7 linked regions of the Callithrix jacchus genome follow. Each later gene encodes a partner of the first gene's protein in a complex. Links are inferred from orthologs where the notes say so. Each region holds a gene or a part of one and is shown in the gene's direction. Other genes may lie near its edges.

What was found.
Region 2: the proteins of GNB1 (region 1) and GRK2 are in contact, whole or in part, in a crystal structure (PDB 5UKL), measured with the Homo sapiens proteins. The link is inferred for Callithrix jacchus from reciprocal best matches to the Homo sapiens genes GNB1 and GRK2. Residues at the interface, in NP_001269468.1 of Homo sapiens: Leu55, Ala56, Lys57, Tyr59, Ala60, Gln75, Asp76, Gly77, Lys78, Pro94, Leu95, Arg96, Ser97, Ser98, Trp99, Val100, Met101, Leu117, Tyr145, Ser147, Asp186, Met188, Cys204, Asp228, Asn230, Asp246, Ile270, Cys271, Asp290, Phe292; in NP_001610.2 of Homo sapiens: Tyr553, Gly556, Lys557, Asp558, Phe584, Pro585, Asn586, Arg587, Glu589, Pro597, Gln598, Leu600, Thr602, Glu604, Ala654, Leu657, Val658, Val661, Pro662, Lys663, Met664, Lys665, Asn666, Lys667, Arg669, Pro671.
Region 3: the proteins of GNB1 (region 1) and GNGT1 are in contact, whole or in part, in a cryo-EM structure (PDB 7L0P), measured with the Homo sapiens proteins. The link is inferred for Callithrix jacchus from reciprocal best matches to the Homo sapiens genes GNB1 and GNGT1. Residues at the interface, in NP_001269468.1 of Homo sapiens: Leu30, Ile33, Thr34, Ile37, Val40, Ile43, Met45, Arg48, Arg49, Trp63, Ser84, Tyr85, Thr86, Phe235, Pro236, Asn237, Asp254, Arg256, Ala257, Gln259, Leu261, Ser279, Lys280, Ser281, Gly282, Arg283, Leu284, Leu300, Asp323, Gly324; in NP_001316355.1 of Homo sapiens: Met31, Val33, Lys35, Cys36, Cys37, Glu39, Val40, Arg41, Tyr43, Val44, Arg47, Ser48, Asp51, Pro52, Leu53, Val54, Ile57, Asn62, Pro63, Phe64, Lys65, Glu66, Leu67.
Region 4: the proteins of GNB1 (region 1) and ADGRD1 are in contact, whole or in part, in a cryo-EM structure (PDB 7EPT), measured with the Homo sapiens proteins. The link is inferred for Callithrix jacchus from reciprocal best matches to the Homo sapiens genes GNB1 and ADGRD1. Residues at the interface, in NP_001269468.1 of Homo sapiens: Arg52, Asp291, Val307, Ala309, Gly310, His311, Asp312, Asp333, Phe335; in NP_942122.2 of Homo sapiens: Ser593, Val594, Ser595, Arg598, His819, Lys822, Val823, Leu826.
Region 5: the proteins of GNB1 (region 1) and FFAR2 are in contact, whole or in part, in a cryo-EM structure (PDB 9CM7), measured with the Homo sapiens proteins. The link is inferred for Callithrix jacchus from reciprocal best matches to the Homo sapiens genes GNB1 and FFAR2. Residues at the interface, in NP_001269468.1 of Homo sapiens: Arg52, His54, Leu55, Asp312, Ser334, Phe335; in NP_001357016.1 of Homo sapiens: Arg37, Gln38, Pro39, Gln40.
Region 6: the proteins of GNB1 (region 1) and CHRM2 are in contact, whole or in part, in a cryo-EM structure (PDB 7T96), measured with the Homo sapiens proteins. The link is inferred for Callithrix jacchus from reciprocal best matches to the Homo sapiens genes GNB1 and CHRM2. Residues at the interface, in NP_001269468.1 of Homo sapiens: His54, Leu55, Asp312, Asp333, Ser334, Phe335; in NP_000730.1 of Homo sapiens: Val50, Asn51, Arg52, His453.
Region 7: the proteins of GNB1 (region 1) and GPR21 are in contact, whole or in part, in a cryo-EM structure (PDB 8HJ1), measured with the Homo sapiens proteins. The link is inferred for Callithrix jacchus from reciprocal best matches to the Homo sapiens genes GNB1 and GPR21. Residues at the interface, in NP_001269468.1 of Homo sapiens: Gln44, Arg46, Thr50, Arg52, Ala309, Gly310, His311, Asp312, Asp333, Phe335, Lys337; in NP_005285.1 of Homo sapiens: Pro57, Leu58, His61, Arg313, Arg317, Thr324.

Annotation. Positions count from the first base shown.
Region 1 is NC_133508.1:39,872,569-39,876,068, reverse strand, and holds part of GNB1 (guanine nucleotide-binding protein G(I)/G(S)/G(T) subunit beta-1), read left to right. Parts: intron 1-706; coding exon 707-869; intron 870-3,500. UniProt on the Homo sapiens protein: Guanine nucleotide-binding proteins (G proteins) are involved as a modulator or transducer in various transmembrane signaling systems.
Region 2 is NC_133511.1:124,351,234-124,355,290, forward strand, and holds the start of GRK2 (beta-adrenergic receptor kinase 1), read left to right. Parts: upstream 1-1,257; 5' UTR 1,258-1,566; coding exon 1,567-1,679; intron 1,680-1,730; exon of another isoform or gene 1,731-1,854; intron 1,855-4,057. UniProt on the Homo sapiens protein: Specifically phosphorylates the agonist-occupied form of the beta-adrenergic and closely related receptors, probably inducing a desensitization of them. Key regulator of LPAR1 signaling.
Region 3 is NC_133512.1:55,719,082-55,723,100, reverse strand, and holds the start of GNGT1 (guanine nucleotide-binding protein G(T) subunit gamma-T1), read left to right. Parts: upstream 1-1,219; 5' UTR 1,220-1,297; intron 1,298-1,388; exon of another isoform or gene 1,389-1,391; 5' UTR 1,392-1,399; coding exon 1,400-1,495; intron 1,496-4,019. UniProt on the Homo sapiens protein: Guanine nucleotide-binding proteins (G proteins) are involved as a modulator or transducer in various transmembrane signaling systems.
Region 4 is NC_133510.1:134,171,724-134,175,926, forward strand, and holds the start of ADGRD1 (adhesion G-protein coupled receptor D1), read left to right. Parts: upstream 1-1,403; 5' UTR 1,404-1,991; coding exon 1,992-2,057; intron 2,058-2,149; coding exon 2,150-2,186; intron 2,187-4,203. UniProt on the Homo sapiens protein: Adhesion G-protein coupled receptor (aGPCR) for androgen hormone 5alpha-dihydrotestosterone (5alpha-DHT), also named 17beta-hydroxy-5alpha-androstan-3-one, the most potent hormone among androgens. Also activated by methenolone drug.
Region 5 is NC_133523.1:31,675,739-31,679,865, forward strand, and holds FFAR2 (free fatty acid receptor 2), read left to right. Parts: upstream 1-1,327; 5' UTR 1,328-1,328; coding exon 1,329-2,318; 3' UTR 2,319-3,695; downstream 3,696-4,127. UniProt on the Homo sapiens protein: G protein-coupled receptor that is activated by a major product of dietary fiber digestion, the short chain fatty acids (SCFAs), and that plays a role in the regulation of whole-body energy homeostasis and in intestinal immunity.
Region 6 is NC_133512.1:110,275,304-110,278,803, reverse strand, and holds part of CHRM2 (muscarinic acetylcholine receptor M2), read left to right. Parts: coding exon 1-1,207; 3' UTR 1,208-3,500. UniProt on the Homo sapiens protein: The muscarinic acetylcholine receptor mediates various cellular responses, including inhibition of adenylate cyclase, breakdown of phosphoinositides and modulation of potassium channels through the action of G proteins.
Region 7 is NC_133502.1:171,660,013-171,664,043, forward strand, and holds the start of GPR21 (putative G-protein coupled receptor 21), read left to right. Parts: upstream 1-1,231; 5' UTR 1,232-1,305; intron 1,306-1,735; exon of another isoform or gene 1,736-1,829; 5' UTR 1,830-2,131; coding exon 2,132-3,181; 3' UTR 3,182-4,031. UniProt on the Homo sapiens protein: Orphan receptor.

The DNA of each region.
Region 1 (3,500 bases):
TACAGGCGCCTACCACCACACCTGGCTAATTCTTGTATTTTATTACAGACCATGTTGGCCAGGCTGGTCTCGAACTCCTAACCTCAGGTGATCTGCCTGCCTCAGCTTCCCAAAGTGCTGGGATTATAGTCGTGAGCCACCGGGCCTGGACTGTTTTGTTTTCTTTTGAGACGGAGTCTCGCTCTGTTGCCAGGCTAGACTACAGTGGCGTGATCTCGGCTCACTGCAACCTCTGTGATTCTCCTGCCTCAGCCTCTCTAGTAGCCAGGACTATAGGCATATGCGCCACAGTGTTTTGCCATGTTGGCCAGGCTGGTCTCAAACACCTGACCTCAGGTGATTTGCCTGCCTCGGCCTTCCAAAGTTCTGGGATTACAGGCGTGAGTGACTGTGCCCGGCCTAATAGTGCAGTCTTGATGAGTTGGCAGTGCTACTGTTAAGTCCCCACCTAATCGTAAGTTGTGACTTTAGTAGAATTGTGGATTTTGTGGATTGAATTTGCATTCCCATGTGCAGCACTGGACTTCTCATTAATTTTTGCTTCACCTAAGTGACCACACATGGGAATTACTCTCTAGATAATTTTGGCTCTTATTTTGTTCTGTTACCTCCTATGCAATGAAAGTTGAAGATGAGAATATCCTAGAATCAGTGTTACTGTTTTTGAACATAGAAGTTTTTGTATCATCTCTGTTTCTGTCATTAGGTCCACGCCATCCCTCTGCGCTCCTCCTGGGTCATGACCTGTGCATATGCCCCTTCTGGGAACTATGTGGCCTGTGGTGGCCTGGATAACATTTGCTCCATTTACAATCTGAAAACTCGTGAAGGGAACGTGCGTGTGAGTCGTGAGCTGGCAGGACACACAGGTACCCATCCTTATTCATAACCTTCAAGTGACACTTGCTGTTTACCTGGTGTACATTATATGCTTTGGATACTCAGCTTTTATCAATTAGGGATTTTTAATTTTTTGGGGAGGGGACAGAGTCTTGGTGTGTCATCAGGCTGGAGTGGAGTGGCATGATCTCAGCTCACTGCAGTCTCCAACTCCTGGGTTCAAGCAATTCTCCTGCCTCAGCCTCCCAAGTAGCTGGGACTACAGGCACCCACCACCACACCTGGCTAATGTTTATATTTTTAGTGAAGATGGGATTTCACTATGTTGGCTAGGCTGGTCTTGAACTCCTGACCTTGTGGTCCGCTCACCTTGGCTTCCCAAAGTGTTGGGATTACAGGCGTGAGCCATGGCACCCAGCCTTATTAATCATTAGTAATGAGACTGGTTCAAATAAAAGTTATAGTAATGACCAGAAGTTTTCTGAAAATGAAACTGAAAACAGGCCTGATACGCCTTTACCAGTAAGAAACCTGTGGATTTGTGCTGGGCATGGTGGCTCATGCCTGTAATTGTAACACCCTGGGAGGCCAAGGTAGGAGGATAGGTTGGAGCCAGAAGTTTGAGACTAACTGGGGCAACAAAGCTAGACCCCATCTCTACAAAAAATAAAAAACTTAGCCAGGCGCAGTGGTGCACGCCTATGGTCCCAGCTCCTCTGGAGGATCGCCTGAGCCTGGGTGGTTGAAGCTGCAGGGAGGTATGATTGCACAACTGCACTCTAGCCTGGGCGAGAGTGAGACCCTGTTTCTGCAAATGAGGCAGATTAGAGCTCTTTGGCCATAAGTGCTGGGTAGTCCGTTATCTCACCAAGGTTTTGTTTGCTTGTGACACTAATTCATCACAGAGGGCATACAATTGCAGAAAGAGGGCATCCTATTCTAATATTTTACCTCTCTGGCTGTATTATCTGTTCTCAGAAATTTTATGCCCCAGTACCTTTTGGTAACACTTCACCAGGCTCACTCACTTCACTTGGAACCAAAGAAATACATTCACGGAGTCACTAGTACTGCTTTTGACACCCATTAAGCAGTCTGTTAAATAAGTTAATATTGGCCAGATCACAGTTTTCCTTGTCCTTTGGAAGATACACTGCCTGTTTTTGTTGATTTCTGTTCTGTGTTCTTTCCTGCCTTCTGCTTGCTTTGGAGTTGCTTTCTTAATTTTCCAGCTGCTTAAAGTAGATCTGTAGGCCACTGGTTTTAGACCCTTTTTCCTTTTCAAATATAGTAACTTTAAAAGTTTTAAATTTCCCTCTAAGCATGGCTTTAGCTGCATCACACACATTTTTTTAATGTCTTTTTTTTTTTTTTTAAATAAGATGGAGTCTCCCTCTGTCACCCAGGCTGGAGTGGTATGATCTCGGCTCACTGAAACCTTTGTCCACTGGGTTCAAGTGATTCTCCTGCCTCAGACTCCCGAGGAGCTGATATTACAGACGTGCGCCACCACTTCCGGCCAATTTTTGTATTTTTAGTAGAGACTGGGTTTTGCCATGTTGGTCAGGCTAGTCTTGAACTCTTGACCTCAAGTGATCCACCTGCCTTGGTATCCCAAAGTGCAGGGATTATAGGTGTGAGCCACCACACCTGGCCTGACCTTTATTCTTGAAGGGTATTTTTGCTGGATATATAGAGTTATGGGTTAAAAAAATAATAATTATAGGTTGACTTTTTTTAAATTTATATATTTTTAGCAATCTAAAGATTTGGTTTTTAGCAGTTTTGCACATGATGTGCCTCGGTGTGATTTTTCTTTGCCTTTATTGTGTTTTGGCATCTTTAATTTATCAGTTTGTCTTTCACCAAATTTGGGAAGTTTTAGACCATGTCTTCAAATGCATCCTCTGTCTTTAGTCCCCGTCCCTCTGCACTGCAATACACACACATCTGTGCTGTGCCTGCAGTCCAGGGGCTGGGCTTGTTCATCACTTTCCACTTCTTCAGATTTGTTCCTTTGTTGTTGTTAGCCCCGCTTACTTGCTTTTAACCTTTTTATTTCCACTCAAGCTCATGTACTTGTTATCTCTGATAAACTAAATAAGGCTATGCAGCAGAATATTTATGTCAGGCATTGCTTCTGCAGTTCTAGAATTTCTATTGTTTTTATTCTATTGCTTTTATTTAAAAATTCTTTTTATTTTCCTGCTGAGACTCCCTGTCCTTGTATAATAGCATGTTTTATTTTGTATCCAAAAGGAGAGTCCTATCACTGCCTTTAGAGTTCTTGTCTGCTGATCCCAGCCTCTCATCTCATCTTCCTGAGGCTGGTCCTTGTGGATCTCTTCTCTGGAGTCTGAGTGACATTTTGCTATTATTTAGTACATGTAGTAATTTCATATTGTATTCTGGACATTGTAAATGTTGTGTCATAGAGACTTTGGGTCTGATTACAATTCTCCAGAAATAACTATTTAGTTTTGTGTATCAGGCAGCCTGTATCTTTCTTGTGTGGCAGCAACAGAAACCGGGTTCAGCTTTTCTGCCCTAGTTGGGCTGCATGCCTGTGCACTTCAGGTGTCAGGTGTCAGCCATGTATGTGGTTTGGGGCTCCCTTTCTGTGGCTTTCTTCTTTCTAGTTTTTATCCTCTTACTTTCTG
Region 2 (4,057 bases), on another chromosome or scaffold:
AAGATCCTGGGTGCTAGTCTGCACACTGGTTATGAGATTTGAGCTCTATGTGCTCAGGGCTGGGAAAAGGGTCCTGTCACTTGGAAAGCAGAGAGGGAGTTGAGAGAGGGGCATGTTGAAATATGAATGCTGCCTTGAGACACTTGGCTTTCCCCACTCTGGGTGGACTCTCAGCAGGGTGGTTTTTCCCTGCCAGGTTTCCCCACAGTGAAACCTCTGTGCCCTCCACAGCTGGGAGAGGTTTTACCCCACATGTGGAACAATCATGAAGGAGCATCTGGAAGGGATTGGGTACAGGGAAGGGAGCTGCCAAGCATGCTGGCCAGGGACCTGGGTCTACGAGCCGGTTGGGGGGTGAGGTTGGGTGCAGGGTCCTTGATCCTGAGTGTGCCTCCTGGGCCAGGATTGGTTCTGGAGTAGGAGGGGTGGGACGGGGGATGGGGGAAGCCTGTAACTGGAATGCAGTTGTCAGGTTCCAGGTTCTGGGCGACCTACTAAGGATTCTGGGTCCCGTGTGGGCCCCAGGTTGGATGTCCTAGTCCTGAGTCCGTGTCCACAGTTCTGGGTGTTGGGTCTAGGACAGTGGTCTGGAGTTGGTAGTCCAAGTCTAGGTCTGAAGCCTGACCCCAAGTCTAGGTTCAGGGTCATGGTAGTGGCCTGGAGTCAGAATCAAGGTTGGGGTCAGTAACCAGGATGGGACCGAGGTCATGGTCCAAAATCTGGATCTGGGACCTGTTGGGAATCTGGAGTGAGTGTCACAGTCTGAGTATGGCGTTGGAGACCCAGGGCTGTGACATGAGGTCATGGTCGGAGTCTGAGGTGGTGGGCCAAGTTTGAGTCTGGAGTCTGGTGTTAGGTCGTGACTGCGTCCAAGGCCAGGGAGTACGGGGTTAAAGCCAGGGTCTGAGATGGAAGCCCTGGGATCGTGTTCCAAGGTCTGAATCTGTGTCTCGGTGAGCGTCCAGGGTCCTTGTGATCCACATCTGGTGTCAGGGCCACGGCCTGATTGGGGAGCCTGGAATCCAGAGATGTGACCCGAGGTTATGGTCAGGGAGTGGGTCTGGGGTCGTCTTCGGTGCCGGGTCCCTGTCGTGTTCCAGGCCCGGGTCGCCGCCCAGCATCCAGGGCCGCGGTCAAGGCCAGGGGCTGAGCCCGCGGTCTCAGGTCTGGTTCGGGGTCAGGCTCCGCGCGGCCTCCAGGGGGCGCCGCCGCCCGCCCGGCTCGGGCCCTAGCGGGCTCGCTGGCGCTGTGCGCGGCAGGCGGGGCCGGAGGCGGCAGCGGCTCCGGGGCGCGGGCGCGCGGGCGGCGGTGGCGGCGGCGCCCCGACTGCAGTCCCGGCGGGAGCGGAGCGCAAGCCGGGGCCGGGCCCGAGCCGGCGCCATGGGGCGGCGCCGCCTGTGAGCGGCGGCGAGTGGAGCCGCGGGCGCCGAGTGGGGCCAGGAGGGAGGCGGCGGCGCCCGAGGCCGAGCGAGCCGCGGCCGGGCCGGGCCGAGCGCCGAGCGAGCGGGAGCGGCGGCGGCGGCGGCGGCGGCGGCGGCGGCGGGAGGAGGCAGCGCCGCCGCCAAGATGGCGGACCTGGAGGCGGTGCTGGCCGACGTGAGCTACCTGATGGCCATGGAGAAGAGCAAGGCCACACCGGCCGCGCGCGCCAGCAAGAAGATCCTGCTGCCCGAGCCCAGGTGAGGAGAAGCCGCCCACGGCCCCAGCCGGACCCCACGGGCGCCCCGGACGCGGCCCCAGACCAGGGACCCCGCGCTCGACCCCGCGACCCGGACTCCCGAGGCCGGTCCTCGAGACCCCCTGTCGGCCTCCCAGCCCGGAGCAGCGTGGCCTTGGCGCCTGCGGATCCAGACCGTAAGCCCCAGACCCTGGCGCCTGAGCCTAGAGCGCCCCGACTCCTGAGCTCTTCTGCCCCATCGGCCCCCGGATCCCCTCGGATACCCCAGGCCGCCCTGCTGCCTCCTTATCGCGCTCCGTCGGCCCCCCGCCCCGCCGGTCGCTGTCAGCCTCTCGCTCCCGCCTTCTCCCACAGGGACCCGGTGCACCCCTTCATCCTCCTAGCAGCCCTTGGTCCCTGTGGGGTCCTCTCCCCTCCGCCGGCCACCATTTACCTCGCCTGACCATGTCATCCACCCTTTTGCTGTCCCTGTTCCCGGGCACCCGCCTTGGGGTTTCTACTACCCCCACCCGTCTCTCCTATCTACACTTATGTGAGGTGTGGGGGGACAGCCAGTCTTCCGGACTCTTCTCCCACCCTCTGGTGGGGTCGCTGTCCTGGAGTTGGGCTTGAGAGTGCTTTCAGGGCGGCGTGGTGTGCAGGACCTGGGGTGCTGCGGGCACCCACCCCCTCAGACTGCGCTCAGGTGGGGGAAACATCCCCTGTGCCCTCTCCCCCACATTCCTTCTCTGGCGGGCCCTGCATATGGTGCCCTGTGGGTGCTGTTAACCAGGGACCCTCCCAGCACACCTGCAACAGCTGGACCTTAGCTGCCACCTCTCTGTAAGTCAACTGACATCACACCTGGTATCAAAGTTTAGACTGTTCAGGATGTAGTTGCAAAAGTACACAGGATGTGGACGATTGCTGCGGTTTGTCCAGCATTTTATGGCTGATAGAGTCTCCACTGTGTGAGCCTCTCAGCAGCTCATGGGGTAGGGAGGACAGGTGTGGCTTTTGTCCCTGTGGAACAGGTGGGGAAACTGAAGATCCAGAGGTGAGTAGCCTGTCCAGAGTCACACAGGTAGTCCCAGGTAGCATCTGGCCAACAGATCAGGGCTTCAGACTTCCGGTTCTACATTTCATTGGCTCCTCTGGCCTGTGCCAGGGAGCAGATGTGCCCGCCACGATTCCTTGTGTCGTGTGGCAACTCCTTGTGCATGCTTGACAGTTAGCCTCCTGGTGCCCACTGGGGCCTGTCCACACTGCTGTGGTCTTATCGTGTGACTCTGGGTCTTATCTTATGACCTACCCTTCCCGCACTGGGCCTTGGTCTTCTCATCTGTGAAATGTGGATGGCGTGAAATAAGAGCTGTGACTCTGCGGTGTCCCTCGGCCTTTGAAGCAGCCATCTCAGCCCCAGCTGACACTGCAGGGCTGCCATGCCTATGGCCTTCACTGGCCCCCTCTGCCATGCCCTGCTCACCGGTGTTCAGATTGCCTGAACATCAAGCCTGAGAGAGGAAAATTGGTCTGCATTTTGAAAAGGCCGTTAGGGCCTTTATTTTTTTCTAAGACATTTACAATCAGATTTCTCAAAACAGGAACCAGACTGACTGTCAGCTGGGGGCTGTCCAGGGAGCAGTGACAGTTAGTACAGAAACGAGTTCAGAAATGACAGCGCCACGAGGGAGGAAACGGGGGAGTCAGCCTCTAGGGCTCGAAACGGCTCTCCTTGGTGGCCGCAGCCTCGAGATCCCCCTGCAGGATGGAGTTCTGCAACGTGTGAGGCGGGGCCTTTTCTGGAACTGTCTGCCTTCGGGTGATCTCTCCCCAGAATGCATTGCTTCAGATGGGGCGCCGCCTTGGCTTGGCTCTGCAGGTGTTGGAACCCTGAGAAATGAGATGTTCTTTCCCTGTCCCCTTGCCTGTCCATGGTAGTGATGACGGTGATAGCAATAATGATAGGAATTATTACTGACTTGCTTATTTTGACATCTGTCATCTCAATTCAGCCAACAACCAACCTGTGAAGCTGGCAAGGTGATGCCTGGCATGTGGTAGTTGCTCAAGAAATACCAGGACTGTGTGATGCCCCATGCAGTCCTGAACAGAAACAAGATCAGTTGGGATTCTAGGAGGACAGCAGGAGGCCGAGCCGGGCAGCCTAGATTTCACATTGGGTCACCATCAGCAGCATGGCTTTCGGCATATTGCCCACATCCACTAGTTCCAAATGTCAGTATGCTGAGGCCTGGGAAGGGCTGCGGGCTGCCCTGCCTGGGGCTCCAGGGCTGGGGCATTGGAGGCAGGCCACCCTTTTCGTAATGCCTTGCATACCCAGGGGTTGCAGAGGCTCCCCCACCCGGGAAGGTGATCCTGCCGTGTCTCACGTTTGCC
Region 3 (4,019 bases), on another chromosome or scaffold:
GGTAAAAATGATGATAAAAAATATGAACTTTTATATTTAGTCTAAAGGAGTGGGAAGGAACTTGAGATTAAAATTTGGGCTCCCAAATACAAAACAGGATTATACAGGAAGAAATAACCTTTGTATAGTTTCTTAAAGAACAGAATAGCAAAAATAAAAACATAAGAAACATTGGGTTCAGGTACCCGTGGTGTATTATTTTCTACCTCTAGAAAATAGTTGACCTATGTAGGCATTTGTCCCTTAAAAATAATCTTAAACGAAAACTTATCCAGAGAAGAACAGAGTATTATAAGACTGGAAAGGGAAAGAATCTTTCTTCTAAGGTTTTGGAAATGAAAACACCATCTAAATACAAGGAAATAGTTAATTGCTGATACATTACTAGCAGAATATTTTTATGTACATGTACAATGTTATGTTGTTCTCTGAAACAGTGTGTGATCTGAATATGCTTACTTTTACAATCATACTTCATTATAAAAATTGGACTAGGGAGAAGAAGGAGACACTATAGGCACAATGCCACTTGGCTACACTGAAATCTTTCCCAGGTAATTTCACCAGCTACTGAGCCTTTTTCCCAATTACCCACTGGTCTAACTGGAGAGAAGAGGAATTGTGAAGAGGGCAGAAGAGTCTGTTCTTCTAGTAGGATGCCTATTGGTAGATCACACTTGCTATGTCCCCTTTAACCTGCTAAATTTGCTCATTGTTGTTACTTGATTCATTGTGACAGTTACAGGCAAATTCCAGGTGTTGCTGCAAAACACTTCTAAGTAATACACTCATTTATTTCTGATTAAGAAGTCTGTTTGCTTATTATATTTCCATTTGATGGGTACAAATTTCAATCCATTATTTGTAATGAACTTATAGTGATACTTTTTATGTGGTTCCCTTTTAATACCAGATTAAATACTCTAGAGATTTAGGGAATTAGTGGGCAATCCTCCAAATGACCTCAAACTAAGTTAAATGACAGGAAACATATGGTGAAGGGTTTTGAAATTGAAGGTAAGGATTGGAAACCCCAAATTTTACACTGTACGAAAGCCCAGGGCCAAGGAGCAGCTTTAAGTATTTTAAATTATATGCTGACTAAACACACCCCTCCCGACAAACCTACTGACAGGTGTCTAGGGTCAAATGCCCGACTTAATCATATTAGTGAAGATTAGGAAGAAGCTTTAAAATCCCAAGGCTAGTGTGCATTGCTAGAATTGTTAAGAGAGAGAGCTCATGAGAAATTGGTTATTGTGGGATATTTAAAATAAAACAAAGAACAGTTTACTTTGTAAGTTAAGAGCTGAGTGAAGTGTTGGCTAAGACTGACTTGAAATAACTCCAGCAATTCATGCATAGGTACTAACCTTCTACATTTTCAGCAGGCAGAAAGATGCCAGTAATCAATATCGAGGACCTGACAGAGAAGGACAAATTGAAGATGGAAGTTGACCAGCTCAAGAAAGAAGTGACACTGGAAAGAATGCTAGTAAGTTACTGCTTTCTTTAGAATTTTATTTTAAGCTAGAGATACTTTGGGAATACCAGGTTAGAAAATATTGACTGAAAAGGCTCAATGTAGTTATAACTAAATTGTTCATATAAAAATTATCAAAGATTAAGAAAATTAATAATAAATCACAATCATCTCTTGATTTAGATTCTAAATCAAGGAGGTTGGCAAACAATTTTTTTTAATGGCTAAACCCAATCCATAGCTTTATTTTGTATGACCACTAAGATAGGAATGCTCTTATATTTTTAAGGAGTTGTTAAAAAAAAAAGGAGCAAGAAAGAAAAGAAAAAAGAAGAGAGAAAGAAAGTGGAGAACATGAGCCAGAACCATATTTCAGCTGAGCAGTAAAATGAATACACACATGCAATACATGCCGGCATTTTGTTTTTACTTTTCTAAACCTCTCTTAGTAGTGCAATATTTTGATATGGATATTTTGATAGAATGTTTTGATATTGTTGCAATACTTTAAGCTATGATTTCATCCCTTCCTGCACTGTTACAGTCAGTAATAAATGAGTACATTCTACTCTTCTTTGGCAAATTAAGATGAGTTCAAACATAAGAACTTACTGGTTTCTCCTAAAAACACCTAACAAATCTTGGAAAGGGTTACCTACAGTTCACTGCCAGTAGAAGGAGCAGAAATGGCAAAGGAATAAACCACTAAACAAACAGGGACAAATTATTGGAGAACGTGGATGTGCATTTTAGATCTCTTCATTTTAGGAAAGTTATTAATAGTAGAATAAAACCTCCACAAGTGGTAACAACATATCTTACATTTTAAAAACATCTCATTTTATCAGGACAAAGAAAAAAGGAGTTTGTGTTATCTTCATACTTTGTTCAAAATGCCTACTCCCACAAAACTGGTATTTTGGCTTCATCTATGTTTATAATAATCTCAAACTCTCCTGTTACTGTTTCCATACAGGCAAAACATGTTTTGCTGTAAAGATAAAATTAAATCAGTACTAAAGCTTAGAATGTACACCAAACAAATTAAAGTCCTTATTTTTACAATTCAGAGTAAATAAAATAAACTTTTGGGATAAAGAAAGTTTTCTTAAGTCAAAATATCCAAAAGCTGTTTTATTATCAGGATTGCTGTTTTGTAGGCAAAGTGATTGTCTTCATATTTATTATTCACTTGTGGTAAGTTCACCTTGGACTCTTTATTTTGGGTAAACATCACATACATCACCATTTATCAGGATTTGGGGTTCCTTTTTCCTAGTATTCAGTGTCTCTCTTTTCTTGGAAATCAAAACAATTTAATAGCAGACTGCAAAAGCTCCATATATACATGTACAAACACACATACATATATATATATACACACACACATATACATATACATGTACTCTCTTAGTCTGTTCAGGCTGCTGTACCAGAATACCATAGACTCGGTGTCTTATAACCAACAGAAATGTATTTCTCACAGTTCTGGAGGCTGGGGCATAAAAGATCAAGGCACCAGTAGATTCCGTGTCTAGCTAGGGCCTGATCCCTCCTTCATGAATACCTGTCTTTTCACTTTGTCTTCACCTGGTGAAAGGGGTGAGGAAGCTCTTTGGGGCTCTTTATAAGGACAGTAATCCTGTTTATGAGAGCTCTGTCTTCATCACCTGATCACCTACCAAAAACCTCACCTTGGGGGTTAGGAATTCAACAAATGAATTTTTGGAGGAAATAAATATTCAACCTGATACATATATATACACACACACATATATATATACATATACACACATATATACATATATACACACACATATATACATATATATACACATATATATGTATCAGGTTGAATATTTGTGTCCTCCCAAATAAATATTATATATATGTAGAAATATATGTAATATATAGAAATATTTATATAATATATAATAAATATACATATTCTATTTAAAAATGGAACTTCCAGGTCCTGATCACCTAGCTCTGATGTACAATTGGTACAGTATGGTTAAGTGGATATACTCAGTATGGGTAAGTGGTTAAGTGGATAATCAGTACAGTATGGTTAGTTGGATATACTCTGAAACCATATTCCCAGCTAGATTCTTGCTCCACAACAACTATCTGCCTGTGTAACCTTTATCTATGTTTTATAATTTACCTGTACCTCTGTTTCTTCAAACCAGCAGTAGTAATAGCATCTAATTCAGAGGATAATTGGGAGGAATAAACAAGATAATATATGCAAAGCTCTGATAACAATGCCTAGTAATAGCAAGTGCATTATATCATTATATTATTATTATCTTAGAATTATTATTATTGATTCTGTGAATGAGACTGATTCATATTATACTTCAATTTTTTTTAGTAAGACAAGTCTTTGCATCCAGTTTCTAAAGCTGACAGATTTGCAATGCCTATAAGTCAATGTAATAGGCAATGACTTGAGACAATCTTTGCAGTAATAGCTAAAAATAGCTACCGTTTGATTGTGCATCTTTTTGTGCCAGGCACCTGTTAGGCATTT
Region 4 (4,203 bases), on another chromosome or scaffold:
TGCGGTGAGCCGAGATCACAACATTGCACTCCAGCCTGGGTAACAAGAGCGAAACTCCGTCTCAAAAAAAAAACAAAAAAAAAAACTGGGGCTGAGAAAAATCTGCAACCGCCTGTCCCTCCCTTCACCTCTTTCCAGCAAGAGGCAGCGGGGACTGGGGAGCTGAGGAAACCGAGATAAAGGCTGTAAATTCCTTTTCCCTGAAGCAGACCAGCCTGGGCGACAGGATAAAGGTCGTTATTACAGACGGCCCCGGGCCTCTGGAGTTGCGTTTTCTCCAGTGCTAGGAGATGGAACTCTCTGGAACCCTTCTCCAGCTCCACGGAGAGGCTCAGCCTATCAGAGCATCTGATTGGTTGTAGGCTGCAGGCACAAGTTAAAAATAATCAGCTAACGTTTTGACAACGCTTTCTTTTTTTCTATCTCACAGAGATTGGAAGTCATGTTCTTATCCTCTTTAGGAAGTATGTTGGATTTAGGGTTATTAATTCCCATGTAAAGTCAGGACAATTGAGATAACCCTATCAGCTAACATTTATTGGGTGCGCTATACCTGCTAGTAATAATCGTAGCTAACATTTACTGAGTGATCATTTTTCTTAATAAAAAATAGCAACATTTATCGAGTGCCACATATTTTCCAAGTTCTGCCTTGGATCTGGCCTCTAATTTCTTGTTACAGCCTTGAGGGGGAGGAACCATTAACCCCATTTCGAGGATGAGGAATTCAAAACAGAGAGATTAAGTAATTTCCTAAGAGCACAGCTAGTGAATGTTGGAGAAAGTATGAAGAGGTAAATATTACCTAAATCCCATAGCAAATATAGCTGTGATTGTAATTATAGGGTGTGTGTCTCTCTGTGTGTACACGTGTATTTGGAATAGAGCGGATAAACTTTGGTCTTGGGTAAACCGAGGCACGGCTGTGGCAAAGGGGCTGACTCTTTTCTATCCCATTGAGAACATCCTTCTGGTGCTGGGGTGGAGGGATCCGTGGTACGTGATAATTGTGTAGCTTACCTTGTAATTGATTGCATAGCTTTCACTGACGTCCGAGAAGATTAAAGAGAAAAATGTGGTCAGCGCTTAATATGGAGGGCACAGTGGGTGTGCTGGTTTTTCTTTTCCATCCATTCATCCATCAACTTTATTCTTTTTTTGGGCAAACAGGACTTAGCTGTAAACAGAGTTTATGGTCTGTTTTGCATTTTGTATTTATTAATATTAATGCTGACTGTGAAGTGCCAGAAGAACCAGTAATACACACGCACCATGTCTGCGTGGTTTGCTTCTGAGCCTGAGATCCTGAAAATATTTCAATTGTTCTTAACAGGCTAGAGTTAGGACCCAGGAAGGACACAGCAGTGGGGTTATAAATAGAGAAGGAGAACAGAACAAAGTTTGAGGAGAGAGACTTACATCACTCACTCCCTCTCCATTCAGGGAGCAGGACGGAGGTGTGAACTTGAGCCAGACCAGAAGGAGCTCGGGAGCTCGAGAGCGGGTGCAGGACAAGCCCGAGGAGCAGGCGGGAGCTCCAGGGGAAAATCGCGCACAAAGCCTTCTTCAGAGGAAAGGGCAGCTCCAAACCTGACCCGGACAAACAGAAGCTCTTGAAATTAAAAGAAAATATCACAGGACAAACAGCCTCCCGTCCACGGGTGGAGGTCGTGGGCACAGTGGTGACCTGAGATCGCTTTCCCGGGACTGCGAGTTGGACTCTCTTTTCTCCTCCCTGCATTCCACAGCTGCTCTGCTCATTGCAGCGTGTTTATCGATCACTGAAGAATCGCAAGTTTTGGGACAAGGAGGAAACACCTATTAGGTCTCCAAGACAGCTGTGTTTCACAACCTTTAAGGAAATAGAACTTTTTCTCCCCCTGGAACCTGTGAAAATGTCCCTTTTCCAAGGAAGTGAAGGTTAAGAGGTCCCGTTCTCACAGACCCTCAGGAATTTCGCTCGGCTCCGAGCTCTGACTTCCGAAAACGCCATGGCCAAGCTGTTGTGGCTGTGCTGCTGGTACCCCCGGCTGCTGCTGTTTTACTACAGTCTTCAGGTAGCGTCCCTAAGTGGCCGGGAGGGAGGTGGGCTCGATTTTTCCAGGCGCTTTCCCTGAGCGTGTCTCACACCGTGGTCTTTTGTGTGCAGGTGCATGGTGTCTATGCCAGATCTCAGGACCATCCAGGTAAGAGTGTTTCCTTCTCACTCTGCACTGTGCTCTCCCCCTGCCTGGTGCGGGTATCCTGGGAACAGCCTACTTGTTAATCTCTGAGGCATCAGCGGATGGCCCTTGTTGGGCTCCTGGTCCCCGACCTCACTGCCCTGCCACAAGCTCTGACCCTGGGCAGCTCTGTTACCCCTCACCGGCTGAGTGGTGGACAGAGAAGCAACTTTGTGGCCCCTTAGCGGGGTCATATGAAACCTTGTGGTTAAGGAAGTGTGATCTCTTTGCTTAAATGCCTTCTGTCTCCTTCTTAAAGAAATGGAGTCTTGCTCTATTGCCCAGGCTGCAGTGCAGTGGCTGCAACCTCCACCTCCCGGTTCAAGCAATTCTCCTGCCTCAGCCTCCCAAGTAGCTGGGATCACAGGTGTACACCACCACGCTCAGCTAATTTTGGTATTGTTAGTAGAGACAGGGTTTTACCATGTTGGCCAGGCTGGTCTTGAACTCCTGATTTCAGGTGATCCGCTTGCCTTGGCCTCCCAGAGTGCTGGGATGATAGGCGGGAGCCACTGTGCCATTGCATGTCTTTGGGGCAGAGTCACTGTAGGGGCCTGGAGCTCTGGCTCATAGCAGGGTCCCGAGACCTCCAGCCTCAGAGTGCTGGGCGACTTAGGCTGGAGCAGCCCACGAGTGGGGCTCAGGACAGAGGGCCACCCTTGCTCCTGCCCCGGAGCCAGCTTCCTTTGGCCATTGTGATGCCCAATCAGGTAGCATCAGGATGGGGCTTCTCCTGGGAAGACGGAGGCACACGCCCTTTGCTGTCAAGAGTGTGGGCGCATGTTCCGGTCAGCCAGGGCAGGAGTGGGAGACGAGGCTTTCTGGGCACGACAGGGTCAAGCTGGGCTGTTGCTCCCTGCTGGCAGGGGTGGGAGATGAGGCTTTCTGGGCACAACAGGGTCAAGCTGGGCTGTTGCTCCCTGCTGGAAGCTGCAGGAGGTGGGAGGAGACCCTGCTGGTGCCTGAACCCCTGTGGGGAAGCCTGCTGTGAGCACAGCCTCTGCCCCCGCCCAGCTCCATGCACTATCGCATGGCCCTGCCCCTTTTGATGGGGAACAGCCTTTTTTAAAACTTATTTTTATTATTATTATTATTTTTCTTTTTTTGAGACAAAGTCTCACTCTGTCGCACAGGCTGGAGTTCAGTGGTGCGATCTCAGTCCCAGCTCACTCCTACCTCCACCTCCCAGGTTCCAGCAATTCTCATGCCTCAGCCTCCCAAGCCGCTGGGATTACAGGCCCATGCCACCACGCCCAGCTGATTTTTGTATGTTTAGTAGACACAGGGTTTTGCCATGTTGGCCAGGCTGGTCTCAAACTCCTGACTTTGGGTGATCCACCCATCTCGGCCTCCCAAAGTGTTGGGATTACAGATGTGAGCCACTGCGCCTGGCCGGGAACTAGCCTTTAATAACCACAAATGGACTCAGGCCAGCACTGTGGGAAGATCCCAGGGTGCTGGCCAGGCCTCCAGGGAGAGCCCCCTTTCTGGGTGGAGCACCAGGAGCCTGCTGGGGTCTGGGGATAGGTGTTGTGCCCTCAGCCTCTGCCTCCTTTCCGGCTGCCTGATGGCCCAAGCCAGGATGTTCCAGGCGTTGTCACCACCTCCATTCACCAGCTCGGGGATGGGGATGCTGCCACTTCTCTTTCGTCCACACACATAGGGAGCCCCTTTTAAAAGGGTATGGAAACTGTGAGAAAGAAAGAAACAAGGGCTCCTGTGGCTTGGGAATGAGTAAGCATGCCCAGTGCTGTGTTAAAGAGAGGACATGTCCGCCATGGGCGCCTCGCTTTTCATGAATGCAGGCCTCCTGGCTTGAGAGGAGGGGAGAGGCGGCCCCTCTAACTGCAGGGTGGTCAGGCAGAGCTGCGTACACTGGTCCTGCAGGAGGCAGGTGGCCCCCATGGCCTCAGCATGGCTCTCACTGATGCTCAGTGTTGCAGAAAAGCTATATGGGCACTCCCTGGACTTCTGCTTATGA
Region 5 (4,127 bases), on another chromosome or scaffold:
AGACAAGGCAAGGCAGCTAGTGTCATGCCTGTGCTCTTGGAAGAGAGGCCAGGATGAGATTTGAGGGGATGGTGCTGGGGGTCTGAAGGAAGGCTGTCAGAATCAAATGGAAGGCTCAAACAGAGAGAAAAGGAGCCAGTTGGGGGTGGGGCGGGGCAAGGAAACGGCCAGGAAACCGAGGCTAGAGAGTGGATGGAGGGATGGGACCAGGGTTGGGGGCTAGCAAGTGTGACACCCCAAGTGGAAACTGAGTTACCCCATGAAGAGGATGAGCTCTGTTTCTGATCAGAGTGCGAGGCTCAGGAGCCAGTGAAGGCCTGTGGGCTTTTCTGAATGTTGTTCTCCAAGGTCTTCTGGGGACAAGCCTTCCTCCCTCCACCCCACTCTAATCCTCCCAGCTTCCCCTTTTCTCTTTTCTCTCTCTCTCTCTTTTTTTTTTTTAGATGGAGTTTTTCCTCTTGTCACCCAGGCTGGAGTGCAATGACACGATCTTGATTCACTGCAACCTCCATCTCCTGGTTTCAAGCGATTCTCCTGCCTCAGCCTCCTGAGTAGCTAGGTTTATAGGTGCCCACCACCTTGCCCAGGTAATTTTTCATTTTTTATTTGTAGTAGGGATGGGGTTTCACCACATTGGCCAGGCTGGTCTCGAACTCCTGAACTCAGGTGATCTGCCCACCTCAGCCTCCCAATGTGCTGGGATTATAGGCCTGCCACTGCGGCAGGCCCCAGCTTCCCCTTTTCTAGAGAGTCCCAGAGTTTGGTGTTGGGCAGCAGAGGACAAGGTGGGGGAGAATCTATGCTCTGCGAAACAGAGGAAGGGAAGGAGGAAGCTGGGCTGGCAGCTGGGCACCTGGGTCCTGTGGAGAGCTGGCACTGGGCATCGAGGCCTGGGGCCCCACAGCCTCGTTATCCTGACATGCATCTTACAGCTCTCTGCCCACACTGATGCCTTTCTCTCCTGCAGGTCTCTGTCTGAGAAAGGGACTTGAGTAAAGTTAGAAACTGGTAACACTAACTTCCTGTATCTGTGAGGATAGGAGGAGAAAAGCTAGGGAAACTGGAGGGGAAATTCCCTTGGGAAGCCACAGGTTGGTCTCCCCCAGAGACACATGATGGCAAACGTAATCACTACTGCTTAATATCCCGCCCAGGCAAAGTCAACAATTGCTCTGGGCAGTTCAAGCAGGTGGTGTGAGCAAGCCGTGGTGGCATCAGAAAGCACTGTCCGGGGAAGGGGACAGTGCTGGGGACGATGTCTGCATCCTGAAAGAGAGCAGGCTGTGAGTGAGACCCCTTGACCCCGCCCTTTTTGATTCCCCTCCAGGATGCTGGACTGGGAGAGCTCCTTGACCCTCACGGCTTACATCATCATCTTCCTCACTGGCTTCCCTGCCAACCTCCTGGCCCTGCGGGCCTTCATGGGACGGGTCCGCCAGCCCCAGCCTGCACCTGTGCACATCCTCTTGCTCAGCCTGACGCTGGCCGACCTCCTCCTGCTGCTGCTGCTGCCCTTCAAGATCATCGAGGCTGCCTCGAACTTTCGCTGGTACCTGCCCGAGATCATCTGCGCTCTCGTGGGTTTTGGCTTTTACAGCAGCATCTACTGCAGCACGTGGCTGCTGGCGGGCATCAGCATCGAGCGCTATCTGGGAGTGGCTTTCCCCGTGCAGTACAAGCTGTCCCGCCGGCCTCTGTATGGAGTGATTGCAGCCCTCGTGGCCTGGATTATGTCCTTTGGTCACTGCACCATCGTGATCGTTGTTCAGTATTTGAACACAACCGAGCAGGCCAAAAGTGGCAATGAAATTACCTGCTATGAGAACTTCACCGACGAACAGCTGAAGGTAGTGCTGCCCGTGCGGCTGGAGCTGTGCCTGGTCCTCTTCTTCATCCCCATGGTGGTCACCATCTTCTGCTACTGGCGTTTCGTGCGGATCATGCTCTCCCAGCCCCATGTGGGGGCCCAGAGGCGGCACCGGGCCGTGGGGCTGGCTGTGGTGACGCTGCTCAATTTCCTGGTGTGCTTTGGACCTTACAACGTGTCCCACTTGGTGGGGTATTACCAGAAGAAAAGCCCCTGGTGGCGGACAATTGCCGTGGTATTCAGTTCACTCAACGCCAGTCTGGACCCTCTGCTCTTCTATTTCTCTTCTTCCGTGGTGCGCAGGGCATTTGGTAGAGGGCTGCAGGTGCTGCGGAATCACGGCTCCTCCCTGTTGGGACGCAGAAGCAAAGACACAGCAGAAGGGACAAATGGGGACAGGGGTGTGAGTCAGGGAGAGGGAATGCCGAGTTCAGACTTCACTACGGAGTAGTGGACTTCACACCTCTGAAGAAGGTGGCCTGGGTTACACAGGAGCTGGAAAGGCTGGGAGAGGGGGAGCAGGAGGATTCCTGTCCAGATTCAGAAATCCTCAGACCCAGTCTGGGACTGGGACTTTGAACAAAAGCCTTTCACTAGCTTGGTATCCCTTCCTGACAGAATTTTCCTACTCAAAGGAGCATAGCTCAGAGATGCAAGAAGAAATAGTTAGGTGTAGAAGCACTGGCTGGGCACGGTGACTCATGCCTGTAATCCCAGCACTTTGGGAGGCCGAGGCAGGCAGATCAGGAGGTCAGGAGATTGAGACCATCCTGGCCAACATGGGGAAAAACCCTATCTTTACTACAAATACAAAAAATTAGCTGGGCATGGTGGCGCATGCAATCCCAGCTACTTGGGAGGCTGAGGAAGGAGAACTGCTTGAACCCAGGAGGCGGAGGTTGCAGTAAATGGAAATTGTGCCACTGCACTCCAGCCTGGTGACTAAGCGAGACTCCATCTCAAAAAAAAAAAAAAAAAAAAAAGGATTTTCAGGCTGGGAAAGCAGCGTGGCTAACTTGAGTCCAGTCCCTGTGATGTGGCTGGTAGTTGGGGGTGGCCAGGCTAAAGCAGGGAGTCCTATAACCATCTTGATACAAGCTTCAAAGCAACACCTAGACACCGCTGTAGCAGTTGATGCTGGAGATAAACCAACAGGAAAGAGATAGAAGAGAATACTAAACAAGGTTAAAAAAGACTCAGAAAGGTCTGAGCCTGGAAACGAGCAGGGAGGCCTCGGGGCTTAGACCTTTAATGATAGTTTCCCTGCATTGGTCTGACCTGTTGCCTTTTCAGTGTGCTCTGTTTGATTTCACATGTTATCTTGTCTCCCCATCTAAACTAGGAGCTGCCAGAGGTCTGGGTCTTATCTCCTTCCTCCATGGTACCCCACATGGGCCAGGACATGGGTTGGTACCCAGCAACCAGAAATTGGCACTGCCTCTTACAAGGGAAAGCAACCTGGTCTAGCAGATGGAAAATAAAGATGATAAAACTCTTAAGTGAGTGTCCACAATTTTTGTAACACTTCTGCAAGCACAGGGAGGGCAAAAATGGGAGAGAGCTCAGGAGGCTGAGGTGGGAGGACCGCTTGAGCCCAGGAGTTCTTGGCTGTAGTGCGCTATGCCGATTGGGTATCCGCACTAAGTTCGGCATGACTATGGTAACCTCCCGGGAGTGAGGGACCACCAGGTTGCCTAAGGAGGGGTGAACTGGCCCCGGCCGGAAATGGAGCAGGTCAGAACTCCTGTGCTGATCAGTAGTGGGATTGCACCTGTGAATAGCCACTGCACTCCAGCCTGGGCAACATAGCAAGACCCAGTCTCAATAAATAAACAAACAAACAAACAAACAAACAAATTTTAAAAATAAATAAATAAAATGAAAGAGAGAGCCAGATTCAGCACTAAAGGGGGGAAGTGATGCATCTGAAACCACAGAAACATCTTACGATAAAGAGGTGGTGTGGGCAAAGGAAGTGAGAGCACTGACAGGAGCCTGTTTCGAGGGATGAATAGAGTCTGGACTTAGAAAGGATTCAGGGTGATTCCGACTCCCAGTCGTCTCTCTGCCACAGGGGCTTAAAACATGTTACCCTCCTGCTCAGAAACCTGCAGAGCTCTCCTATCATCAAAATATTTCCTTGGCCGGGTACAAGGGCTCCTGCCTGTAATCCCAGCAATTTGGGAGGCTGAGGTAGCAGGACCGCTTAAGCCTGGGAGTTTGAGACCCACTTGGGCAACATAGTGGATCAGGGTCTTAT
Region 6 (3,500 bases), on another chromosome or scaffold:
GGCCTGCGCTGACCTTATCATAGGTGTTTTCTCCATGAACTTGTACACCCTCTACACTGTGATTGGCTACTGGCCTTTGGGACCTGTGGTGTGTGACCTTTGGCTAGCCCTGGACTATGTGGTCAGCAATGCCTCAGTTATGAATCTGCTCATCATCAGCTTTGACAGGTACTTCTGTGTCACAAAACCTCTGACCTACCCAGTCAAGCGGACCACAAAAATGGCAGGTATGATGATTGCAGCTGCCTGGGTCCTCTCTTTCATCCTCTGGGCTCCGGCCATTCTCTTCTGGCAGTTCATTGTAGGGGTGAGAACTGTGGAGGATGGGGAGTGCTACATTCAGTTTTTTTCCAATGCTGCTGTCACCTTTGGCACGGCCATTGCAGCCTTCTATTTGCCAGTGATCATCATGACTGTGCTATATTGGCACATATCCCGAGCCAGCAAGAGCAGGATAAAGAAGGACAAGAAGGAGCCTGTGGCCAACCAAGACCCTGTTTCTCCAAGTCTCGTACAAGGAAGGATAGTGAAGCCAAACAATAACAACATGCCCAGCCGTGACGATGGCCTGGAGCACAACAAAATCCAGAATGGCAAAGCCCCCAGAGATGCTGTGACGGAAAACTGTGTTCAGGGAGAGGAGAAAGAGAGCTCCAATGACTCCACCTCAGTCAGTGCTGTTGCCTCTAACATGAGAGATGATGAAATAACCCAGGATGAAAACACAGTTTCCACTTCCCTGAGCCATTCCAAAGATGAAAACTCTAAGCAAACCTGCATCAAAATTGGCACCAAGACCCAAAAAAGTGACTCATGTACCCCAACCAATACCACCGTGGAGGTAGTGGGGTCTTCAGGTCAGAACGGAGATGAAAAGCAGAACATTGTAGCCCGCAAGATTGTGAAGATGACTAAGCAGCCTGCAAAAAAGAAGCCTCCTCCTTCCCGGGAAAAGAAAGTCACCAGGACAATCTTGGCTATTCTGTTGGCTTTCATCATCACTTGGGCCCCGTACAATGTCATGGTGCTCATCAACACCTTTTGTGCACCTTGCATCCCCAACACTGTGTGGACAATTGGTTACTGGCTTTGTTACATCAATAGCACTATCAACCCCGCCTGCTATGCACTTTGTAATGCCACCTTCAAGAAGACCTTTAAACACCTTCTCATGTGTCATTATAAGAACATAGGCGCTACAAGGTAAAACATCTTTGAAAAAGAAAGAAGTGGGCAAGGGGAGCTTGAGAAGAATAAAAGGGATAAAAGAGCTCCTGGTTTTCAAATCTCTGACATTGCACTTTATACTCTGATTACAAAACGTGCAATTCAGGAGCCCAGCAGTGACATACTTATCACGCCTAGGCTCCAGTTTGCAAAAATTGCACCTTATAAACTGTGAGTATTAGGAGCAATGAGACAATGAAAGAAACATGTTGGGGTTGTGGATTTAAGGAACGATCTACTCTTTCTCATACTCTCTTGAAGAAGGGCTTCTGAATCTACAATTTTGACCGTCTCTGCACAAGAGGAATAACCTTGTTCCTTTTTTGTTTCTTTTGTTGTTGTTGTTCTCATGTGTCCTTAAGAGAAGGAAATGCCCCAGTTAAAAGGTAAACATGGAGATTTAAACACAAAGAAATAGGCACTATACAATAGGGAGGTAAAGAAAGAAAATCAAAGAAGGATGCAGAAATTGTCTCCGGAGTGTTAAGCCTATTTTATTCTTTTGTTACGGTTCTATTTAGAGGATTGCAATGTAATAAATGTTTATTTTTTGCCTTTCTTTTTCCCACCATGAAAAGAAAGCAAACAAACAAAAAACCAAACTAGGTCACACCACTTTGCTTCTTGTTATGCCATTATTTTGTACATCCCTGTTCTATACTGTTTATAGGCAAAACCTACAAGACTTTCACTAAGTCCAGCCAGAAACAGCCATGAAAATGGACATTTCACCCCTCCTCACTGTGTCCTTTGCATTCGTTGGGGGTATCGAGGCCTATAAGGATTTAGTACACTTATGATCTGATATGCAAAATGTTTAAACCAATCTGATTTTCTCCCAAATAGTCTTTTATTTCAACAGAATATCCTACCTAAAGCATAAACATGTTGAAGAACCCAAAGTCATTGTAAAATCGATGTTTCATCAAGTTAAATAATGGCCAATCTAGTTGGAAAAAGTTTATTAAAATCAGATGAATTTTAAGATTAAAAATTAGAAGTTTAGGACATTCTATTTCAACCTGAATCTGCCTGACCTGTGTATGAAATGTTAACTTATAGAAAATCAACTCCTGACTTGGTCAGCAGAAAGGGATACTGTTTTATTTCGTTGGAATCCTGAACAGCATTGATATACTCACTTAGCACCAATGATTTCTGGGTCAGTCCCTAGAGAATAGGACCCTCTATCCCATGCCTGCTAAAGGACGATATTCAAATTATAATCAAGTGAGCTCGTCTGCAATTTTCTATGACCCAGTAAAAGGGGGAAAAAAGAGATCTTAAATACAATTACATATTCCTTAAATTGTCAATTCTCCCTAACATTATTTAGCTTCAAAATTCTCTTATCAATAGAATTATAGTAATCTTTGTGACAGAAATGTAGTGGCTAACTAAATAGAGGCCAAACGAGCTCACAGAATCTGACAGAAGGATTGTAGGTGGCTGTTGCCATGCCACGTCTCACCATCTAATTCCAGACCATAACAATCATGTCAGTAACTATTATCTAAGTGGTAGCATTATATAGAATCTTGCCATGTGGAAACTTTTTATTTGGTAGTCCAAATAAATATAGGATTAGGATTATACTGATTCACATATAACTAGTTATTTTTATCCTTTATATTTTTCTTACACGATTTGCTGTAGTTTTCCAATGAGATTTTCTAAAAATGTCTCACTCGATAGGAATCAAATTATAAATGTATTTTCAAATTTCATATTTTGGATTTTAGATTTATGATATCTTGTCCAGTAGTATGAATGTTAGTTTCCTGATAAATTTGTCAATATTAGACCTAGCACTTATAAGAGTTATTTTGAATGATTGGCCTCATTGATGTCACTTCAACAATTTGGAGAATTAAGGGGGGAAAAGCACAAGGAAAAAAATGACAAAAAAAGTTGTCAGTTAGTAAGAAGCAAAATGATAGCAGTATTTATATTTGATTATCCTTCATAAAAACATTTTCCTATTTAAATAACTTCAATCATTAACCCCCAAAGTAATCTTCCATATTTAAACCGACAGCATCTGTTTATAGATTCTCTTACCTACAGTTACTTCAACATGAACTTTTAGATTTAAATTTGTATTTATGTTCACATTGTTTCTTCAAATGAGTGAATCAATTGAGTGGAAATAACATCAAGACAATGGGCTCCTCGACTTTCTGAAAGACAGAGAATTGTCTGGCCAAATATTTCCCTTTTTAATTTATTGTATTTTGGTAATGTAGATTCCGCTTCAGTTGGGAAGAACCCTT
Region 7 (4,031 bases), on another chromosome or scaffold:
AAGACCTGTCAAATATTACTATCAGGCTTATGCTTAAGTAGGTTTTTATTTTGGCATCATGGCTGCATCTGGGACTGGCCAGACAGCTGCTGCTGCTTCGGATTTAAAATGTAATTCATTGCATTCTGATTATGGGTGCCCATTTATCTGTAATAAGAAAATGTGTATAAAATGAGTAAAAACGAAAGTTGGATCACATGTTTTTGCTCAGGTGCATACCTTTTGGAATGCTTTCAAACACCAACATTTGTTTATTGTCTCAGAGATCCCTGGAGGAAAAGATACTAAAATTACACATTTTCATAGCATTCTATTAGCTGAAAATTGTCAACATTTATGACATTACCAGGAAAACCACAATCTAATCCCAGTTTGCATTGTTTTAAGTAGGCAGAAACAAGATTGTATATTCTAAGATACAAAGGCTTATTTGTGCCATGAAACTTCCTGTAATATTCATGCCTGAATAGAAGAAGGTACATTTTCTTTTTTGTCTTTTATTTATATTCTTGTATACTGCTCAGCAAAATCGAAGCAAGAAACAGCGTCTCAAAACTATAGGGTAGTGTCAAATACAGGAACGATGTAATTTCTCTGTGCTATTTCTGTAGTATTCAGAATAGGAGATACTTTATTTTTCTCTTGAAAAGTGATTTTAAAGTTTCTTGGCCAATATTCAGTGAATCATGAGAGACAAAATTAATGAATAGCCTTCTAGCTAGAACTTCTTGTACAGCTGAATTATGTTTCTCAGTTGCCATACGCCATACACTTAAAGGAAGTTAACATGCTTCCTTTCTTTAATATTGCTCTTTGTTCTTTGGGAAAATGCCGTAAGAAAATAGGAAGTACCCCTCTAGCAGTGTGTTTCAGTCTAATTACTGACACTGACACCCTGTTCTGTTACTACCCCTTCTCCTTGCTAGCAGCCTGAATTCTGCTTATCTACTAAAAGAGGGATTCCAAACAGACGAGGAAACAGCTTTCAAATGATATACTATAGGCGTACCAAGCTATTCCCACACTGCGCAGTCTGGAAATCAGGGGGCACCTCTTTGACGATGAATTCCAATTAGTTGCTAAAGATGCCAGTGTGTGTGCGTGTACAGGCGTTTTCTTTCCCCTCCCCCTTTCTTCCTTTTTCCAAGCCCCCTCTTCTCCCTGTTTCCCCTCCTACTCCTTTATCCCCTCCCTCTGTGTCTCAGTTCTGCAGTAGGCAGGGTTGAAGCACATTCCTGCTCTGCAAGGCTTTCTGTTAAGGATGTATTGTGGCTTTTGTTTGGATTGCAGCATGCAGAATTACAGGTAACATTCTGAAATTGAACTAAACAGTAAATTCTGTTGAAATGTTTTCAAAGAGGCAAAATATTATATTGGAATCAGTGAAGAAAATAAATTATCTTGGCTAATTTTATTAGTGATAAGTGTAGTGAAAGATTTTCATAAATGTTGCTAGCAAATTTCTTTTCTCTCCCATGTCTCAAATGAAAGGAAATGGGGGTAAATCAATCTAACCGTGATTCATTTTGTTTTATGCTGATCTTGAAAGCTTGATGTTGCTGCTGCTACTCTATACCGTACGGATCAGTTATATGGGGTGCTATTGTGGGTAGCCATGAATAGTGGTGCCGGTAGGGGTGGAGTGGGAGGGATGATGCCAGCCTGAGCTAGCCAGGTTCTTTGATTAGGGCATTGGATGTGAAATGTAAAATGCTCTCTCCTTTTCTTCTATCAGCTGTTCAGAGGAGACTCATTACAACTCCTGCTGAAGCTCCTAATCTTCTTCCCTTCTCTTCTGCCCTTTCCCCCTACCCTCACTTGGCCTGAAGACGTTGTCCCCAGAGTTTGCCTTACTCCCCTGGTGCTATGTGTATGATGAACTTGGCATTATGGCCGCGTTTGGAACTGGCCAGACAACTGCTGCTGGCTCTCCTTATTCCAAGAAGGATTTAAAGGGGAATTGCACTGCAGGCAATGCACCACAGCAGCAGCATCAGGAGCTTGGGGACTAAGGCTCCTCTGGCATTATTACATACATGCAAAGCTGACCGCAATGACAGCGGCTGCTCCTTTGAACTGTTGGAAGCAGCCAAGCGGCAGCATGAAGTGACAGATCACTCCAGAGCTCAAGATGAACTCCACCTTGGATGGTAATCAGAGCAGCCACCTTTTTTGCCTCTTGGCATTTGGCTATTTGGAAACTGTCAATTTTTGCCTTTTGGAAGTATTGATTATTGTCTTTCTAACTGTATTGATTATTTCTGGCAACATCATTGTGATTTTTGTATTTCACTGTGCACCTTTGTTGAACCATCACACCACAAGTTATTTTATCCAGACTATGGCATATGCTGACCTTTTTGTTGGGATGAGCTGCCTGGTCCCTTCTTTATCACTCCTCCATCACCCCCTTCCAGTAGAGGAGTCCTTGACTTGCCAGATATTTGGTTTCGTAGTATCAGTTCTGAAGAGCGTCTCCATGACTTCTCTGGCTTGTATCAGCATTGATAGATACATTGCCATTACTAAACCTTTAACCTATAATACCCTGGTTACACCCTGGAGACTACGCCTGTGTATATTCCTGATTTGGCTGTACTCGACCCTGGTCTTCCTGCCTTCCTTTTTCCACTGGGGCAAACCTGGATATCATGGAGATGTGTTTCAGTGGTGTGCAGAGTCCTGGCACACCGACTCCTACTTCACCCTGTTCATCGTGATGATGTTATATGCCCCAGCAGCCCTTATTGTCTGCTTCACCTATTTCAACATCTTCCGCATCTGCCAACAGCACACAGAGGAAATCAGCAAAAGGCAAGCCCGCTTCAGCAGCCAGAGTGGGGAGACTGGGGAAGTGCAGGCCTGTCCTGATAAGCGCTATGCCATGGTCCTATTCCGAATCACTAGTGTATTTTACATCCTCTGGTTGCCATATATCATCTACTTCTTGTTGGAAAGCTCCACTGGCCACAGCAATCGCTTCGCATCCTTCTTGACCACCTGGCTTGCTATTAGTAACAGTTTCTGCAACTGTGTCATTTATAGTCTCTCCAACAGTGTATTCCAAAGAGGACTAAAGCGCCTCTCAGGGGCCATGTGTACTTCTTGTGCAAGTCAGACCACAGCCAACGACCCTTACACGGTTAGAAGCAAAGGCCCTCTTAATGGATGTCATGTCTGAAGTGGCTCAGATACGGAGTTCCCCTGTGTATGTATGTGTTTTATCTCTAAGTATTTCTAATTCACTAGAAAATCTGGGACAGAATACTTTGACTCTAAGCAATAGCATACAAATGGTTTGTATGGATACCTTCTAAGTTTGTAGAAATGGTTTTCAAAAGTGCTTTTGAAGACTCAAGATCATGAAGACAAATTGCTCTTGGTTCCAATTTTTGAAATGTTTTGGAAATGACTACAGTTCTCAGATTTAAAATGAATAAAGCCATATCTAACACCTCTCTCCAGCTGGCATGACTGAACCTGGGTGTGAAAAGCATCAGCATTTTAAAAAGTCATCATTTTCTTGTCACTTTCTGGGTTCTTTCCAGCTATTTGGGCTTCATGTGCAATTGATTTCTTCTAACAGGGAGTAGTAAAACATAAATTAAGAAGTTTTAGAAATTACTTTTTATGTATACTAAAGTATAACTACACTGCAAGTTTCAACACTGTCATTTAGAAAGCCAAATGTTCTATATTTTATTCTCTTGAGAGAATTCTCAGTAGGGTGAATAATGTGAACATATAAACATTAATTTTAGAATTCTACAGTGAACCATGAAGCAAAAGTACAATCAACTTATACAGTTTATGAAAAACTGAGCTATTTTTTGTGCCATGCTTCACAGAGATCTAAAAATAAGTGTGCATAGAAGTGATCATGTTTGTAGTATTTTTGCCCATGCCTTTGTGTTATGTCTATATTTAGAATATCTGAATTGTTAGATTTCTCTTTTATAGCAAAATGTGTTTAAATAAGCTAAAAAGCAATTGATAGGCTGTTGGCTGTCGATTTTATACTGGTGACTATA